Arabidopsis thaliana: one gene and its partners. The protein of the gene in region 3 interacts with the protein of the main gene of each other region in a pairwise test. Each region holds a gene or a part of one and is shown on either strand. Other genes may lie near its edges.

The links. Proteins that work in one complex are often made in the same cells at the same time.
Region 1: the proteins of AT1G10090 (region 3) and AT5G08139 interact in a protein complementation assay, tested with the Arabidopsis thaliana proteins (one large-scale study listed by BioGRID).
Region 2: the proteins of AT1G10090 (region 3) and CER10 interact in a protein complementation assay, tested with the Arabidopsis thaliana proteins (one large-scale study listed by BioGRID).

Annotation. Positions count from the first base shown.
Region 1 is NC_003076.8:2,614,244-2,618,437, reverse strand, and holds AT5G08139 (RING/U-box superfamily protein), read right to left. Parts: upstream 2,305-4,194; 5' UTR 1,952-2,304; coding exon 821-1,951; 3' UTR 550-820; downstream 1-549.
Region 2 is NC_003074.8:20,520,381-20,524,702, reverse strand, and holds CER10 (3-oxo-5-alpha-steroid 4-dehydrogenase family protein), read left to right. Parts: upstream 1-1,604; 5' UTR 1,605-1,846; coding exon 1,847-1,915; intron 1,916-2,099; coding exon 2,100-2,139; intron 2,140-2,601; coding exon 2,602-3,356; intron 3,357-3,448; coding exon 3,449-3,517; 3' UTR 3,518-3,773; downstream 3,774-4,322. Other genes in the region: AT3G55350 (PIF / Ping-Pong family of plant transposase), read right to left, coding at 4,013-4,322.
Region 3 is NC_003070.9:3,290,194-3,298,109, reverse strand, and holds AT1G10090 (Early-responsive to dehydration stress protein (ERD4)), read left to right. Parts: upstream 1-1,911; 5' UTR 1,912-2,162; intron 2,163-2,729; 5' UTR 2,730-2,838; coding exon 2,839-3,119; intron 3,120-3,287; coding exon 3,288-3,434; intron 3,435-3,584; coding exon 3,585-3,648; intron 3,649-3,770; coding exon 3,771-3,980; intron 3,981-4,654; coding exon 4,655-4,840; intron 4,841-5,212; coding exon 5,213-5,511; intron 5,512-5,782; coding exon 5,783-6,059; intron 6,060-6,155; coding exon 6,156-6,431; intron 6,432-6,900; coding exon 6,901-7,134; intron 7,135-7,223; coding exon 7,224-7,538; 3' UTR 7,539-7,799; downstream 7,800-7,916. Other genes in the region: AT1G10095 (Protein prenylyltransferase superfamily protein), read left to right, coding at 118-354, 513-632. UniProt on the Arabidopsis thaliana protein: Acts as an osmosensitive calcium-permeable cation channel.

The DNA.
Region 1 (4,194 bases), on a different chromosome or scaffold from region 3:
ACTAAAACAACATTAGTGATTCATAGCAAAAGGAATCATTGGAATATTTGGTGATAATATCTTGTGCACGTTATTGCTATCTTCAATTTATCATTCACACAACTTTACTTCTCATAGTTAGTCTTTGTATAACACTTTTATTCATTAACGAAGAAAATCTTTACGTGTTGTAAATGCTATACAACAAAACATTAATGTTTAGTTCTTAAACAAGAAGTAACAATGAACTTAAGATTAGTCTATTGAAGAATAAATGGACCCCAAAAAAAAGGTGATTGTTATGTGTAACAGATTTCAAAATTAGTATGATTAGAATTACCAGACGGCAACGTTGTTTCCACAAAAGGACAATACAACTCTTTCTAACATAAAAGCTATGTCGAACCACAGAAATTGAAAACCATGGTTGTTTTATTCTTAGCTCCACTAGTCATTATTTGCAAATCATATCCAGAATAATTTATTTTGAGATGATTTTTTTTACTTTTCAGCTTGAGTTTACTTTATTCGATTGAAACATGTAAGTATATAACTCGGAACATTTTAACATTTGGAATGAAGTTCTAGGTAAATGTATAAACCAGGCCAATAAAATGAGACAAAAGCAAAACAAACATCAAAGATTCAAAGTACATGCATATATGTTCTTCTCTGCAAAGCTAGCCTCCTAAAGCTTAGACCATCTCATGGGTCACACAATGAGGCCAAATACTAGAACAAAACCAACTAAGAAAACGCTTGACACAATCCAAACACAGAATATCTACATTATTAACTAGTCAAGACAAAAATCTTACTTATCGAGGATGATGTTTACCATTTACAGAACCATGCCAAAAGTATTTGTTGTTCTCTGAGTCTTCCTCTGCTCATACTCTGCATCATCTGTAGGCAACTCATAACGACAAACAGGACATGTGTTCCTTACTTTGAGCCACGGTACAATGCATTCGCTATGGTACTTATGATTACATGGCAGTTGAACCGCTTTGTTTCCGATATTCATCTCATCTTTACAAACTGCACAAACCAAACCACCATCATCATCGTTCTCACCTTCTAGTAGAACCACTGGGAGATTGTTGAGAAAAGATTTGGAAGTCGGAGGTAAACCAATAACGGATACCTCAGCATCGGCAAACTGTTCAAACAACATATCATAGTCTTGAACATAATCGTCATGATCACCACCAATGTACAGCTCTCTGTTATCCACATCAAAGTTGATCTCTAGAGTGTGATTCAGTAAAACTTCCCACCCTAGATTTCCCGAACCCTCTGCTCTTTCCCTTGTCACTAAACCCTCTAAAGAGATAATTGGCGAAGCAGAAATCAAACTTTCGTCATTCATATCAATTTGTGCAAAGCCACTTCGTATCTCTCTCTCATCATCCACGCCGCCACCACCACCACCACCAACTTCTTCCCAATCAAATTCATCAGCAGTTACCTCACGATCTTCTAATTGGAGTGAATCCCAACAAAGAGGGATAGTCACACTAACATCATCATCTTCATATTCATCATCATCATTCACATATACATCTTCTTCATTCAGATCAATCCCCCATAATTCCCTCTCATTCTCAACACCATCATCATCATCTGAACCCGATTCCACCGTAATCAACCTGATATCATTCCCCGAAGATGCAATATCGCGGAACTCGAGCCCAAAATCAGTCCTCCCCACAAAGAAATCGTCGTCATCAGGTTCATCAAAATCATTGCTAACATCAATATCACTATCACCTAAATTCTCAACGATAACACTTCCAGATTCCAATCCTAATTCAATCACCATGTCGCAGTTTCCCTCTATCACAACAGAACAAGTTTCGGATCGCGATTCATCCGTAGCCTCGTTATCAAAATCACCATGGATATTAGAATCGTCATGAGGAGGAGTTACCTGAGACTGCTCGACTCGCTGGTGTAACAGATCATCCATGACAAAGATAGAGAAGATCGAGAGATACCACGACTGAATCTGAAACCGATTCGTCGCATGAAACAACGACGGAGGAAGAAGAAGAAGAGTAATCAGTTATCGGGGGAGAATTGTGAGAAATCGAATCGAGGTCTGCTTCGTTAACTAACAATCTCACATCTCATGTGTTGTTATAATACGACGTCGCTTTCGATCTAAACACATGAAAATTTCCGCCATCAATTTTGACGATATTTACTCCTTTTGTGGAGTAACCTTAAAATGACGATTTTGTCCCTCAGTCATATTCTCGGCTCGAGAATCGCTTGAATGGGCCAGGCCGAAATATTGGCCTGTTATCACGGAGAATCTCTTGAGCACCCAAACCAAATTTGAGATTGACTTGAATTCAGTTCTATTTGAAATGATGAACAAAAAAAGAAAACCAATTTGTATTCTCAGTACGGTGGAATTAGATGCACATTTACACCATATCGGCCCATGGGCGGCCCATAAATTATAATGGTTTACTTCAATTTGTCAACATTTATATATCATAACGTTTTTAAAATTTATTTGACTAGAAAAAGGAATTTATTTTTATTGTGAGATACTTTTGGACCAACCAAAAAGAAGAAAATGTATAAAAAATATATTATTTTCTTCTTTTTGGTTGGTCCAAAAGTATCTCGGCAAGAAAATAGAAATAAATAAATAGAGAGGGGACACTTGTCGAATAAAGAATGGGCCGCGTCTTAATCGAAATCGCCATCCAGTAAGAATAAAAAATAATTAAAATAGAGAAGCCCAAAGAGTCCAAGCACGTGAGAGAGGCCACGTAAGCGAAAACTAGTGTGGGAACAGAACAAAAGAAAACACATCTTCTCTTTTTATTTTTATTTTTGACATGATGAGAGAGTCTCTTCTCTTCTCTCTCCAGAGCTTTCGCTTTCACGTATTATCAATGACCCATAAACCGACAGGTCACTCGAGAAAGGACACCACATGCCCTCTCCTTCTATTCCCAACATAATTTATCTTATCTTCTTCTTCTTCTTTTTTTCATCCACCATTAAAATTCCTAAACAACGTCATTAGAGATAGAGAAATATAACGAGACAATGACATTAATTACCTAAATTTTAGTCAAAAAATTATTTTATCACACCATTGTAAAATTAAAAACAGCTTTTGATTATGTGGTTTAATAAGTAACACATGTCATATGTAAACATATCGGTTAATTAATAAACATAACAGTTTTAATATGATAAGGAAAAATAGTTTAGTATACGTAAATTTGATGAATATTGAAAATAGTACGAATCCACTTTTTAAAATCATCATTTTACTACTATGTATACAATTATCCACGATTTAGTTTAAATTGGCAGCTTCAACCTTAGTTCTAGTGGTAAATGAGCGCATTACCACGGATGTCGGATTCATAAGTGTCAGCTATTTATTCACAAAAAAGAAAATAAAATATTCATAGCTAGAGGGCCCACAAGTTTTACTTTACCTCGAGTTCTAATCTCTGATATTATTTGTCAGAGTGAAAAAAAAGTGGGACCCAAAGATGAATAAATTTGCCCTCACGTGATACCATCACGAGAAAGCGATCGGTCGCCACCGCTTCTCTCTCTCTCTTACAGGGCACGTGCCCCTCACGTCTCTACTCTTCCTCTCCCATTTGCCCGTACCAAATAAAAATCTCACTCTCTACTTAACGGCAACGTTTGGAGTTAAACGGCGTCAAAGAGTGTCCAACAGTGCGGCGACTCTCTCGTTAGGAGATGATATGGGACCCACCGCACGCGAGACGGAAGGCAAATTGTTAACGGCAGGGAATGGGCACCCACGTGACCATCCTTCTCTGCTCCTCCTCCTCTTCTCCAAATCTCACTTTCACCTTCTTGTCTTTCCTTTTTTTACGGCCTATATAACCTAGTTTTATTCTGACAGTTCGAAATCCTTATTTAGAATTGTTTCACTTAATTAATATCAAAGTCTTATTTGGATTACAGCACACAATTTTACGACCAATGATGTGCGATTGTGTGTAAACCAACGATAATCTTTGTGGCAAACATCTCATATGCTCGTATAAAAAGTAATTAAAATAAGCTTTTTGTCAAACAAATTCTATAGATTTGTGACGCAAACATCTATGTGTAAATATATTTTTGATAACAAGTATACAGTATGTTGAAATATGTCGAGTGAGTTATAAACTACGGAAAAAAAAATTGTTACACAGTCTA
Region 2 (4,322 bases), on a different chromosome or scaffold from region 3:
ATCTTTATTTGTTATAGAAATTTATTATTTAAAAGAAATTCGTCTTTATAGAAATGTGCATGTGTTTTTTTTATTAGTAACACATTTTCATGCAACAGGAATCTTCGCTTATCTGTAGTGTACATCTCATGAGCCCATATTCATAGTTGTAAAGCAACACCTTCTCTGCAGCTTTTTCTTTCCTATTGTTTTTTGTATCCATAGTTCACATCTACACACTATATAAGGCTATTACAAACAATGATACAATATATGTTCTCATATAATTTGATCTTAATTTTCAAGATATTTAAGGTGGGAAAATATCGAGATAGTATACAATGGAAATCGTTACCACGTGCATGCCAATCTTTAGTAGAAGAAGATTCCTAGATTCCAACAAGAACATGCGCATTTTTTCACGAAAGGCTGGAAAGTTTAATATATAATGGTCGAAAAAATAGGCATAATCTATTTAAGTACTAGCTTAAGTGTTTTACGCTAGATCTGGTGTTGACACTTGTACACCTGGTTTTAAAGTTGCAGAGAAAACTAGATTAATGCTCAAATTGTAGTAAGTAGATTGGATAATTTACACTCGGAAAAAACAAGTTTTTTCAGAAGAATTAGACTGTTGCTCACTTGAGAAAAATCTAGCTAGCTTTGTTAATTGAGGATAGTTAGTTATAGTATTTGAATGACATTAAGGTGTTTGAATATCGCATGAATTGTCGCCTTGGTATTTGGGCAATTACCGGTCATTATTTTGATCTTTGTGATGTCAACTAATCGATCCCAACCATATATATCATAAACTACTGTCTCTTAATTGATCCATTGTGTTTTTAATTTTATCATTACTTTTTTTAACTAGTTGAGAGAATGATTATCTAACCCCTTTCATATTCAGAAAACTTAGGTTTTGAGTTTTTGCTTTATTTGCTGCTCTCTTGAATTAATAGAGCTCTCGTATGCGATTGACTTTGGGTGATTTTTTTTTGTTGGAAAAGCAAATTTCATTGACCAATATAACTAAACTAACACACTACTTCCATGTGGTTAAGGGCCGGGATCATTTATTATTTGCATCTTTTATACGACAATGACAAGGATTCGTTCTCATTACTCCATCCCATTTTGTGGTATGTAAAATCCTAACTTTTTTACTGCATTGATACAACATTTTATTTTAGCATTAGATCAATACGATGGACATATGTCATCAAGTGAGGGGGTAGAAGTTTGCAACTAATGTTTTTGTGCTCATGAATCAATCTCTTCTAGGTAACATTATTTCACTCTTTTCTATAGCGAATACTGCAATGCTTTTACGTTTTAACTAAACATGACTAAACCAAATACCAAAAAAAAAACGAGTAACACTTTGGTGGTTCCTATCTAAGTTGACCGGATCACTCGATTTGATAAAAAAAATTATAGTAAAAGTTTTTGTTTTTGAATACAAATTATATATTTGACTAAAATTCGAAACTTAACCGAAACTAAAACCTTAGCAGATAATCTATAGTATAGTAGATTCATAAACCGAAAAAACAAAAATCTAAACCTAAACTGAGTAATTACTAATGGTGGATCCTTAAAACAAAGCCATAATTTGCAATTGCAACAAATGTTTTTGTTTGGAGTAAAAACCAAAAAAAAAATGATGGGGAGCAACTAAAAATGTAAAATGGTCCCAATCTAATCGCATAAGTTGGGAAGATAGTTAGTAGTTCTCCTACTCCCAACTACATCCTCTTCAATGCTCAATCTCGTCTTCTTCTTCCTCTCTATTTAATTTCCCTTGTCTCTCTATCTCTCTCAATTTCCTCATCTGGGTCTTCCTCGTTTGCTCCGCTTAAGCACCATGAAGGTCACCGTCGTCTCCCGCAGCGGCAGAGAAGTCCTCAAAGCTCCCCTTGACCTCCCCGATTCGGTACTTTCTCGTTTCTTATGATACTCTCTTCTCCGATCTGCTTCTTCTTCTGATTCGTGGGTTTGTTTCCAAAATGTGATTGAAGGTTTTTGTTCTTTAGTTTGGTCCCTCAATGTAGGGAAAGTTGCATGCTTTATGATTTTTGGGTTGTTGATTTCGATTTCGTGTGTTTTGTGCTTCGCAGGCGACTGTTGCTGATCTGCAAGAAGCGTTTCATAAGAGAGGTAAAGTTTCCAAAGTTTTCATTTTTACTTGAAATTTGACTTGTCGAATGTTGGTATAGATCTCACCTGAGTGTGTAAGCTTAAGCTAGTGTTTATGTGTTTGAGTTCTCCTTATACCATTTGATGCTTATGGGGTTATATAATCAAGATCTGTGTGGAAGCTTAAGGAGTATTTAGATTTGATAATGTTTTCTGCTGATAAGGATCACTTAAGCTTCTAAACACAGTTTTGGATTTGAATTAATCATCACAACCTTTTGTCATTTATGGATCAGTCCCTTTTTAGCTTTAATAAAGGTTCACTTTAGATTGTCCATCAATGGCAATTATCTGAAATCATCTTACTATACAGTACAATGTATATTCTGTATGTATTATATTTATCTCGTTCATTCAAATCTTAGTTTGATTTTCTCTCAGTAGGTATTAAACTGTTTGATTTGGGTTTTGTTGTTTCAACAGCTAAGAAGTTTTACCCGTCGAGGCAAAGACTGACTCTTCCCGTGACTCCTGGATCGAAGGACAAACCTGTTGTCCTCAATAGCAAGAAATCACTGAAGGAGTACTGTGATGGAAACAACAACTCCTTAACTGTAGTCTTCAAAGACCTGGGGGCACAAGTTTCCTACCGCACACTCTTCTTCTTCGAGTATCTTGGCCCTCTCCTTATCTACCCTGTCTTTTACTACTTCCCTGTTTACAAGTTTCTTGGTTATGGAGAGGACTGTGTGATCCATCCGGTCCAGACGTACGCTATGTACTACTGGTGCTTTCACTACTTCAAACGGATCTTAGAAACGTTTTTCGTACATCGGTTCAGCCACGCAACCTCCCCAATCGGGAATGTGTTCAGGAACTGTGCTTATTACTGGAGCTTTGGTGCTTACATTGCTTATTACGTCAACCATCCCTTGTACACTCCAGTTAGTGACCTTCAGATGAAGATTGGTTTCGGGTTTGGTTTGGTTTGCCAAGTCGCAAACTTTTACTGTCACATATTGCTGAAGAATCTGAGGGACCCCAGTGGGGCTGGAGGCTACCAGATTCCACGCGGTTTCCTCTTCAACATTGTTACATGTGCCAATTACACTACCGAGATTTACCAATGGCTAGGATTCAACATCGCTACTCAGACCATTGCAGGATATGTTTTCCTCGCTGTTGCTGCTCTAATCATGACTAATTGGGCTCTTGGAAAGCACAGCCGTCTGAGAAAGGTAAACATAGCGGTCTCACGATATGATTTTAGCGGAACTGAAAATTCTCAAATAATGTTCTTATTGTGGATTGTTTGATATTGGTATTGCAGATATTTGATGGAAAAGATGGAAAGCCAAAGTATCCAAGAAGATGGGTGATACTTCCTCCATTCCTTTAGAAGCCATTGTTGCTTATCAGTAAAAGCTCTTAATAAAGCTGAAAATGAGACTTTCTTTGGGTTCTCTGTATCGTTTCCTTTTTTGTTCGGTCTATGTATTGGTTATAACATGTTTATTCCTTTTGTTTCAATATGTTTTGATTTTTGAAGTTAGAGAGATTTAGAAATGTACTTGTGTAGTTGTTTCTCACGCAAACCAATTCCTCTTTATGTATCGCATACATGAGTCAATAATAAATATGATTACTAGTAACATAAATCAGTCTATGCGGCATTCTATAATGACAATTGCAATGAGTTTAGACGTCGATGAAACATACAAGTTGTATAAATTAAAAATAACATTCATAAGATACACATTTTTGTTTGTCCCATAAAAGAATATGTCAATAGATCAAATCAAACGATAAAATGTTATGCTAAACAAAATTACCAGAAGGAAAAAGAAGCAAATGAAGCTTTCATAGAAAGACCACAAGAACCGGGAGAGAGTAATCAAGCTGATGAATTTTTTCCACACAGTTGGTCAGAGAGTTCATCTCTCAAGACCGATGAAGCCTCATCGGCAAGCTTGCAGCTTCGTTGTCTGTAGTTCATGTCATGTTGCTGAGACAAAGGTTGGTCATCCAAAGTTTGATCCTCCATATCGATAATAATGTTGTGCAGCAAGCAACAGACAAAGATTATCCTTGGTAACCGGTTTCTATCAGGCATCCACATTACCCCGTTTATTATCCTCCACCTGTCTTTAAGCTTCGATAGTGCCATCTGCGCGGCTTTTGTTGCCTCGGAGTGTCTTTTGTTG
Region 3 (7,916 bases):
AGCTATCATGGCGACAGTGGTTTGGACAACAAAGATAGTTAAACAGTTTGTTGTCATGCTAATACAGAGATGATTGAATTAGTGACTTATTTGAGTTGTTATACTTTTTTCTTCCAGGCACTATGGCTTCACCGGCGGTTCCTCTCTCTTAATTGGATAATGTATTTCGCTTGCAATCATTCAGATGCTTCACCTGAAACCGGAGAGAGTATTATTATGAATGAAGAAATTGCCATCTTCATTGATAATGAGATCCGTCTTCTAGATTCTTCTATGACCGTTCCGGATACCAAATTTGAAGATTTTCAAGCTCAAGCATTGCATGCTGCTGTCTACACGCTATGGCTGACAAAGGTAACAGTGGTCTCTTCTTGTCCAAATAAAGTCATCAAAAAAATTGCCACTATTGTCAATCTCACAAGTGCAGAAAAATAGATTGGGAGTTTTCCGTATAGCAGAACGATAGAAATATGGTTGACTTTGATTTCTGATATGCATTCGTTTATAAGCAGAGCATTCCAGTACTGTGGAGAATGCTCGAGGAGAAGCTTGGAACAGAGAAAGTGAAGTGTGTACTGAACACAATTGCTCAAGAGAGACCCTCGCTTCTGCATCATTTGGTGAATGTCTGAAGACCCTCCATAAATTGGTGTCAAACCATGTCTCAGGATCTGTTTGAATTGTTTTTTTTTTTTTTTTTTTTTTTTTTTTTTTCTATTTTCGCCGATATAGCTTAATGAGTTGATTAATGAAGAAGTTGGCCGAGAAATCTCTGTCATCAAGTGTTACACGAGTCTTCGAGTGGTGTAACCAAACCTATTAAAAAAATGAATGAAGGTTATATAAGCTTCCAAAACCAGATATGTCGTATTCCGTAGAGACAAACGAGACCGTCACAGCTATCAAAGGGAACTAAGTATATTGTGTCCTCCTTCGCCTTCTCCCAAGGAGTAGGGATCTTGACCGATGATGAGGAACCCAACACCAGTGTAGTTAGATGTTTTATATCCGGTTTACAATAATCGTCACGCCATATGGAGACCATGAGACAAACGAGACCGTCACAGCTATCAAAGGGAACGCCATATGGAGACCATGAGAACATCTGGATCACCTGATTGCTGACGCTCTGTCAACTGTCTTTGTTGGAAGAATGGAGATTCGATAATTGATTTCCATTGTTTAGACACGGCCTTTGAATCTCAGCAGAGAATCCACAGCAAGTCTCTCTAGGATGCACTCTACCACATCGTGGGGCAGCGATTCCGTCCTCGAGCAGCGTTGTTTTTACTTGTGATTGCAGACTAGTCCTTGTTGATGAATATACAGAGAGGCTTATTTGCTTTATAAGCAAGTAATCTCACAAATAAACTGGAAAGAGGAAACCTATCACTCTTTTACCTATTTCTTATGAGCTTTGAATAAAGATACTGACCGTTGGGAATATCAAACCGATAATTATGTAAAGATGCTAAACCAGTTATATGCATACCGCATCATAAAGCATGTATCATAATTCATAGTCACACCTAATAAAGAGAATCGAGTTATTATATAGTCATACATAATAAAGAGAATGAATAGTCAAATGGGCATAATTTAATATGACCGGTCCTTGTTATGGGGTAGGTCTCACACTCTCACCACGCGGATAATAGATATGCGACCTTTTTTAATTTTCCCGGGCAAAAACTGTTGTTAACTGTCAATGTTAATTCCACGTGTCACAATCGTATCGCTTTACAAAAATCTAACGGTCATAATTTCGCCGACAAGGTAGTCACTATCACAGGCTAAAAAGACCTTTGCCGACGAGATATTAGTTTGGGCCATTCACGTTATGCCACGTCACATGATCTGGCGATTCCACATTTACACCAACGTGGAGAATTTTGCCCAATGATTTTTTTCAGTTATCTTTCCGTCTAGAGAAATATCCTCACCAAAATAATAACATGTAATGTGTATACAGTATACCTAATCAATCATTATCTTTCTTTAATTTTGTTGGATTTTTTGCATATTGCAAAGTTTAGAACGCGAGCGAATTCTCCGCGGAATTGGGGTTAAAAGGAAGAACTTTTAGGGTTTTTGATTCTTCGGGTTTTCTCGTGCTTTGATTCCTTTCAAGTCAAAGCAAAGCATTACCTTTTCTCGTCCATGTAAGTCAGAATTGTTCAAATTATTGTTTTGTCTTTTCTTTTGTGGGTAAATTTTTTGTTCGAATTATCTACGATCTCGTTGTTTGTTGATTCTCCTCAATCTCCTCTTCGATTTTGATCGAATTTCATAATCTGGGCTTTGGTTTCGCTCGCTTTCTTGTTTCCATTGTCGTAGTGAGTTCTCTTCGCGAATCAAATCCTTTGATTCCTCTGTTTTTGGTGTTCTGGTTTTCTTAGGTTCTATGGAATCGTGGGTCGTTTTAGTTCAATCATAAATGACGATTGAGTTACATTATCTTATCATCAGCCACAACTTTTAAGAGTTGATTATATTTTGATCCCGTATCTTTGGTTGTTCCGAACATGGAAAGTTTTAGGTTTTTAGTTTTTTCATCCCTTGTCTAAGTAATCGCTGTTTTACAACTGATCAAGTGGCAAGTACGTTACTTATGCAACTTTTGAGATCAGTCCTTACTTGTTAGAGTAACCACAATTCATGTTTCAATGTTACCACATGCTTCATGGCCATATCTCTTATCCTAGATTATTTCTTGCTTTTCCTTACAGATCTTTTGACGACCTAAGTTTCTGCTGTGAATTGTTAAACAGCCATCAGCCTGGGCTTGATTAGCCAACCCTGTTAAGGCAGGGTTTGAACTAAAAGTGAGATAGTGAGATGGATGTCTCAGCACTTTTAACGTCTGCTGGGATTAATATAGCGATATGCGTAGTGCTTGTATCGCTTTATTCCATTCTACGAAAGCAGCCAGCCAATTATTGTGTTTACTTTGGTCGATTGCTTTCTGACGGAAGAGTTAAACGTCATGATCCTCGTTGGTATGAGAGGTTCGCGCCCTCTCCTAGTTGGCTCGTGAAAGCTTGGGAAACCACTGAGGAAGAGATGTTGGCTGCTGCTGGTCTGGATGCTGTGGTTTTCATCAGGATGGTCATTTGCAGGTTAATGATACTTCACCTATAACATGCTTACTGTAATTGAATAGACAAGCATGGTATTTTCTACTGTTTCTATGTTCCAGCACTTGTTTTATTTCTATGTGGTATTTGTGTGTTTCGTTCTTAACAACTCTCACAGTTGGGTTATCGTGTTTTTTTTAAACTCTGCAGCATTCGTATTTTCTCAATCGTCGCAGTCGTTTGCCTTGCCTTTGTGTTACCTGTTAACTATTATGGACAAAAGATGGAGCACAAGGAAGTCCATTTGGAGTCATTGGGAGTATTCACAATTGAGAACCTTAATCCACGCTCACGATGGTAAAGTGGCGGCATATAATATTAATATTATCAGATAATATGCATAGCCTGTTTTTCTATCTGATTATGTTTCTCTGTGCAGGAGAAGATAGATTGCCAGTATTTTGTACAATGAAGTGCTGATCCTTGTTTTACTATTTTTATTTCCAGGCTCTGGGTTCATTGTCTCTCATTGTACATCATATCCTCTGCAGCATGTGCTCTTCTTTACTTTGTGAGGATCTTATACCTTGGTTCATTTCACGCTTACTGTTTCTCTTTATTCCATCACTTCCTCATCGTTTTGGTCTCTCGTCTCTCTCTCTCACCCTGTTTATACGTGTTTCACCACTGTAGGAGTATAAGAACATAGCCAAAAAGAGGCTTGCCCATATTAGTGGATCTGCCTCAAAGCCAAGTCATTTTACTGTTCTTATTCGTGCTATTCCTCAGTCTCCTGACCAGTCCTACAGCGAGACAGTGAGCAAATACTTTACAAATTACTATGCACCAAGCTATGTGTCGCACCTAATGGTCTACCGTGATGGCTTCATTCACAGACTGATGGTATGTGTTTTTATTTATTTTTGCAACATGCTGACTTGATTATCAGTCACTTGTCTTTTTGTTATGATTTTGTCGGATTAGGAATAAATTTTTCAGCTAACACCACTGCCGCTCTGCTTGGTTGACCTTAGCAGAATAGGAATCTCCTAGAATAGAAAAAGGAAGCTGTGATAGCTCTATGTTCCGGAATGTGATTTAACACTTTTCACACTTTACATGTTTCTTCTTTCTTTATAAAATGTTCACCATAACACTTCCCCTGTGTTCTGTCATAAATGCTTCTTCATTTGCCAAGGGCATCAAAGATTGATGAAATAACAGAACAGTAACTTTGTTGTAAAGATTTGATTGATAGTCATGTATCAGTTAAAGATATAGGAAGTTCTAAGGGGATTATATGATTGATCCACATTCTTGGAGTACTGATTTTGTTTTTGGCTCATTTGTAACGCTTTTATTTGTAGTTCATGTTATCTGATATTGAGGTTCTTTTGATATTACATCAGTTTTTTGCTTTGGTTATCTGATCAGCATTTTGAATGGCAATATCTTTGGTAAACAACTAGTGGATGGTGTGTGCTCATGATAACATATAGTTGAAGTGCAGTGGTCTATTTTGGAGAACAATTGAGTTAATTAGATTCTAATATTAATTGTGTCACTTTCTATTTTAGAATGAGACGGAGAGGATGTGTCAGGCTATAAAACATGTTTCTCCTGATTTAAGTTGTAATCCGAGTTTGAAGTCATGCGTCCTTTGTGGACCTGCAGCCACAAATTCTTTTCAAATCATCTCGAACGAGACAGACAGTGTCAAAGGATTGGAGCTTGGTGAGTTGACTTTGACTACGACAGAGGAAGTAAGGAATTATTTTCACTTTGATAGGTGAACTTTGTGCTGTACATGATATAGGCATAGTGTGGGGTTTTACCTGTTGCATGTCTTCACAGTTTTACAGCTGAAACTGGAGAATTGACTCTTTTGTTCTTTACTGAGATACAAATTGAGCTTTAGAGGTAACACTGAGACTTAGGGGAACCCAAAAAATACTACAATGAGACGTTAATGGACCTTGAATTAGTGATACAAAGAGCTTTTTGTTTAAAACCTTTAAAAGCTAGATCTAAAAGGAATATATCTCCATTCATGACTGCATTTGTAAACATTGCTTAATGAAGTATCAGCGCCTGAAATATGTATGCAAGGCTTACACTTTTCTGCTCATTTGCAGGAACGTCCCGTTGCTTTTGTGTTTTTCAAGAGTCGTTATGATGCTCTTGTTGTTTCAGAAGTTCTTCAAACACCAAATCCTATGTTATGGGTGGCAGACTTGGCTCCAGAGCCTCATGATGTTCACTGGAGAAATCTCAGAATACCTTATCGGCAGCTTTGGATGCGAAGAATAGCAACCCTTGTTGGTGCAATTGCCTTCATGTTTGTGTTTCTTTTTCCTGTTACCTTTGTTCAAGGGCTGACTCAACTACCAACGTTATCCAAGAATTTTCCTTTTCTAAAAGACCTCTTGAACAGGTCAGCATTTCCTTCTTGTACTCAGTAATAGAAGGTTTTGTTCGTATTCTTCTTAAGATGACATAGAGTTGGCACTAAAGAGTAGGTGTAGCTACGTTGCTTTTAGAGAATTTCAAGATGCGTATAGTCGGAGGCTGCTAGGCAGTTGATATATTTATGCTAGATTTTTCTAGATTTAAGCGCAGTAAAAAACTGAGAACAATTAAATTCTGTGTAATTGATTTCTTTTCATTTCCTTTCAATTTAATTATCCCTTTGAAAAACATTGCAGGAGGTTTATGGAGCAGGTCATCACAGGGTATTTACCAAGTGTGATTTTGGTTCTATTCTTTTATACCGTTCCGCCATTGATGATGTACTTTTCAACCTTGGAGGGATGTGTTTCTCGGAGTCAAAGAAAAAAAAGTGCATGTCTCAAAATTTTATACTTCACCATCTGGAATGTGTTCTTCGTCAATATTCTATCAGGCTCTGTTATCAGGCAGTTTACCGTCTTGAATAGTGTGAGGGACGTACCTGCACAACTTGCGAAACTTGTTCCAGCACAGGTAATTTTCAGTGTTCCTTTCACACGTGTGACTATATTCAATTTTGTTATTTTCTATAAGGCTAACGGTATGAAATTATTCATTGACTACATGCAGGCTGGCTTCTTCATGACCTATTGTTTCACGTCTGGTTGGGCCGGTTTGGCATGTGAAATCATGCAACCTGTAGGTCTTATTTGGAATCTGATTGCAAAAGTTATTGTTAAGAACAAGGAGGAGTCATATGAAACACTTAGGTTTCCCTACCATACAGAAATTCCAAGACTACTTTTGTTCGGGCTCCTGGGTTTCACCAATTCAGTCATAGCGCCTCTGATACTGCCGTTTCTGCTGATCTACTTTTTCTTCGCATATCTTATATACAAAAATCAGGTACGTGCATATCTGCTCTGATCTCTTCTACATAGACCTCATTTTGTAGTTGCCAATAAGCACTTCAAGAAATTGTGACATAGACACCTATATCCATGATCAAATGTTTTTGGACTTTTTCACAATTTGATATGAAACCTGATTCAGAAGCATGAAAGAGTATTATTTTATTTTCTTGAAAGATTTGTAACTAAATTCCAAGAACTCTGTACTGAAACATTGTCGTCGAGACCTTGCATTAAGTTACCAGCTGTTCTCATGATCTATCTGAAGCTTTACCTTATAACTTTGAGAACTGCATAAGGTGTTGTCTGATTGTCCCTGCATTCGTTGAGTGCTTGCTTCTGGAAATATGATTAATGTATTTGTGCTAATCGACTAATAGTGGTGCCATAGGTAGACAAGTCTGTGAGTTTGAAGTACAATTATTTGGATCTGACTAAGTTTGTCTTTTTTTTTTTTTTTGCAGATAATCAACGTCTATATTACAAAGTATGAAAGCGGTGGACAATATTGGCCTGTTTTTCACAACACTACAATCTTTTCACTGATCTTGTCGCAAGTTATAGCTCTAGGCTTTTTCGGGTTAAAGCTATCAACGGTTGCTTCAGGTTTCACCATCCCGTTAATCCTTCTCACTCTTCTATTTAGTGAGTATTGCCGGCAAAGGTTTGCGCCCATATTCCAGAAATATCCAGCCGAGGTATATATACATATATATATATATTACTCATCTTTTCATAACCTCGATTTGCATCTCCTGAGAGATATTGATGTATGAGTTTCTTTCAGATTCTTATCGCTATGGACAGAGCAGATGAGATGACAGGAAAGATGGAAGAGATACATAACAACTTGAAAGTTGCATACTCTCAGATACCAACGTGTTCTGAAGAATCCAGCAAAGCTGGTTGCACTTCTCCTTGCTCAGATCAGGAGTTACCAGATTCTGAAGAGTTGAAGCCTGAGAAAGAGAATCTTAAAGCTGATTACATATGGGAGTTCCAGAGAAGTAAATCTGGTCTTGATCTTGAGGTGAAATCCTGTCCCAGTGCTTCCCCAATTCGTAATTCCCCAGGGTTTGCCGAGATCTACAAACGAACATAGATACTTGAGTTACAATGTATACTTTATAACTCTGCAGATGAAAAGGTGTTTTTGCAGTTGAGTTACAATTTTAGTAGTTGAAACCCTTATGGGTGATGAAAGTAAGAAGTGGGGAAAGCCATTGAAACGTATATACAGTTTTGCCTCCTAAAATGAAATGTAAATTTGGAGTTACTGCAGGAGGAAATGAAACTATCCTTGGAAACACTTGTCTACAAGTACAATAGACGATTCTTTTCTTTGTCATAGTTTTGTGAAAGACATTGACTTTACGATATAGAAATGAGCAAAAGAGCTTTCTGTTTCTATCTCATATATATGTTTATAGTGTTCTTCATTGTCGTGTATACACAGCTTAAAATGCAGAGTAATCTCCTT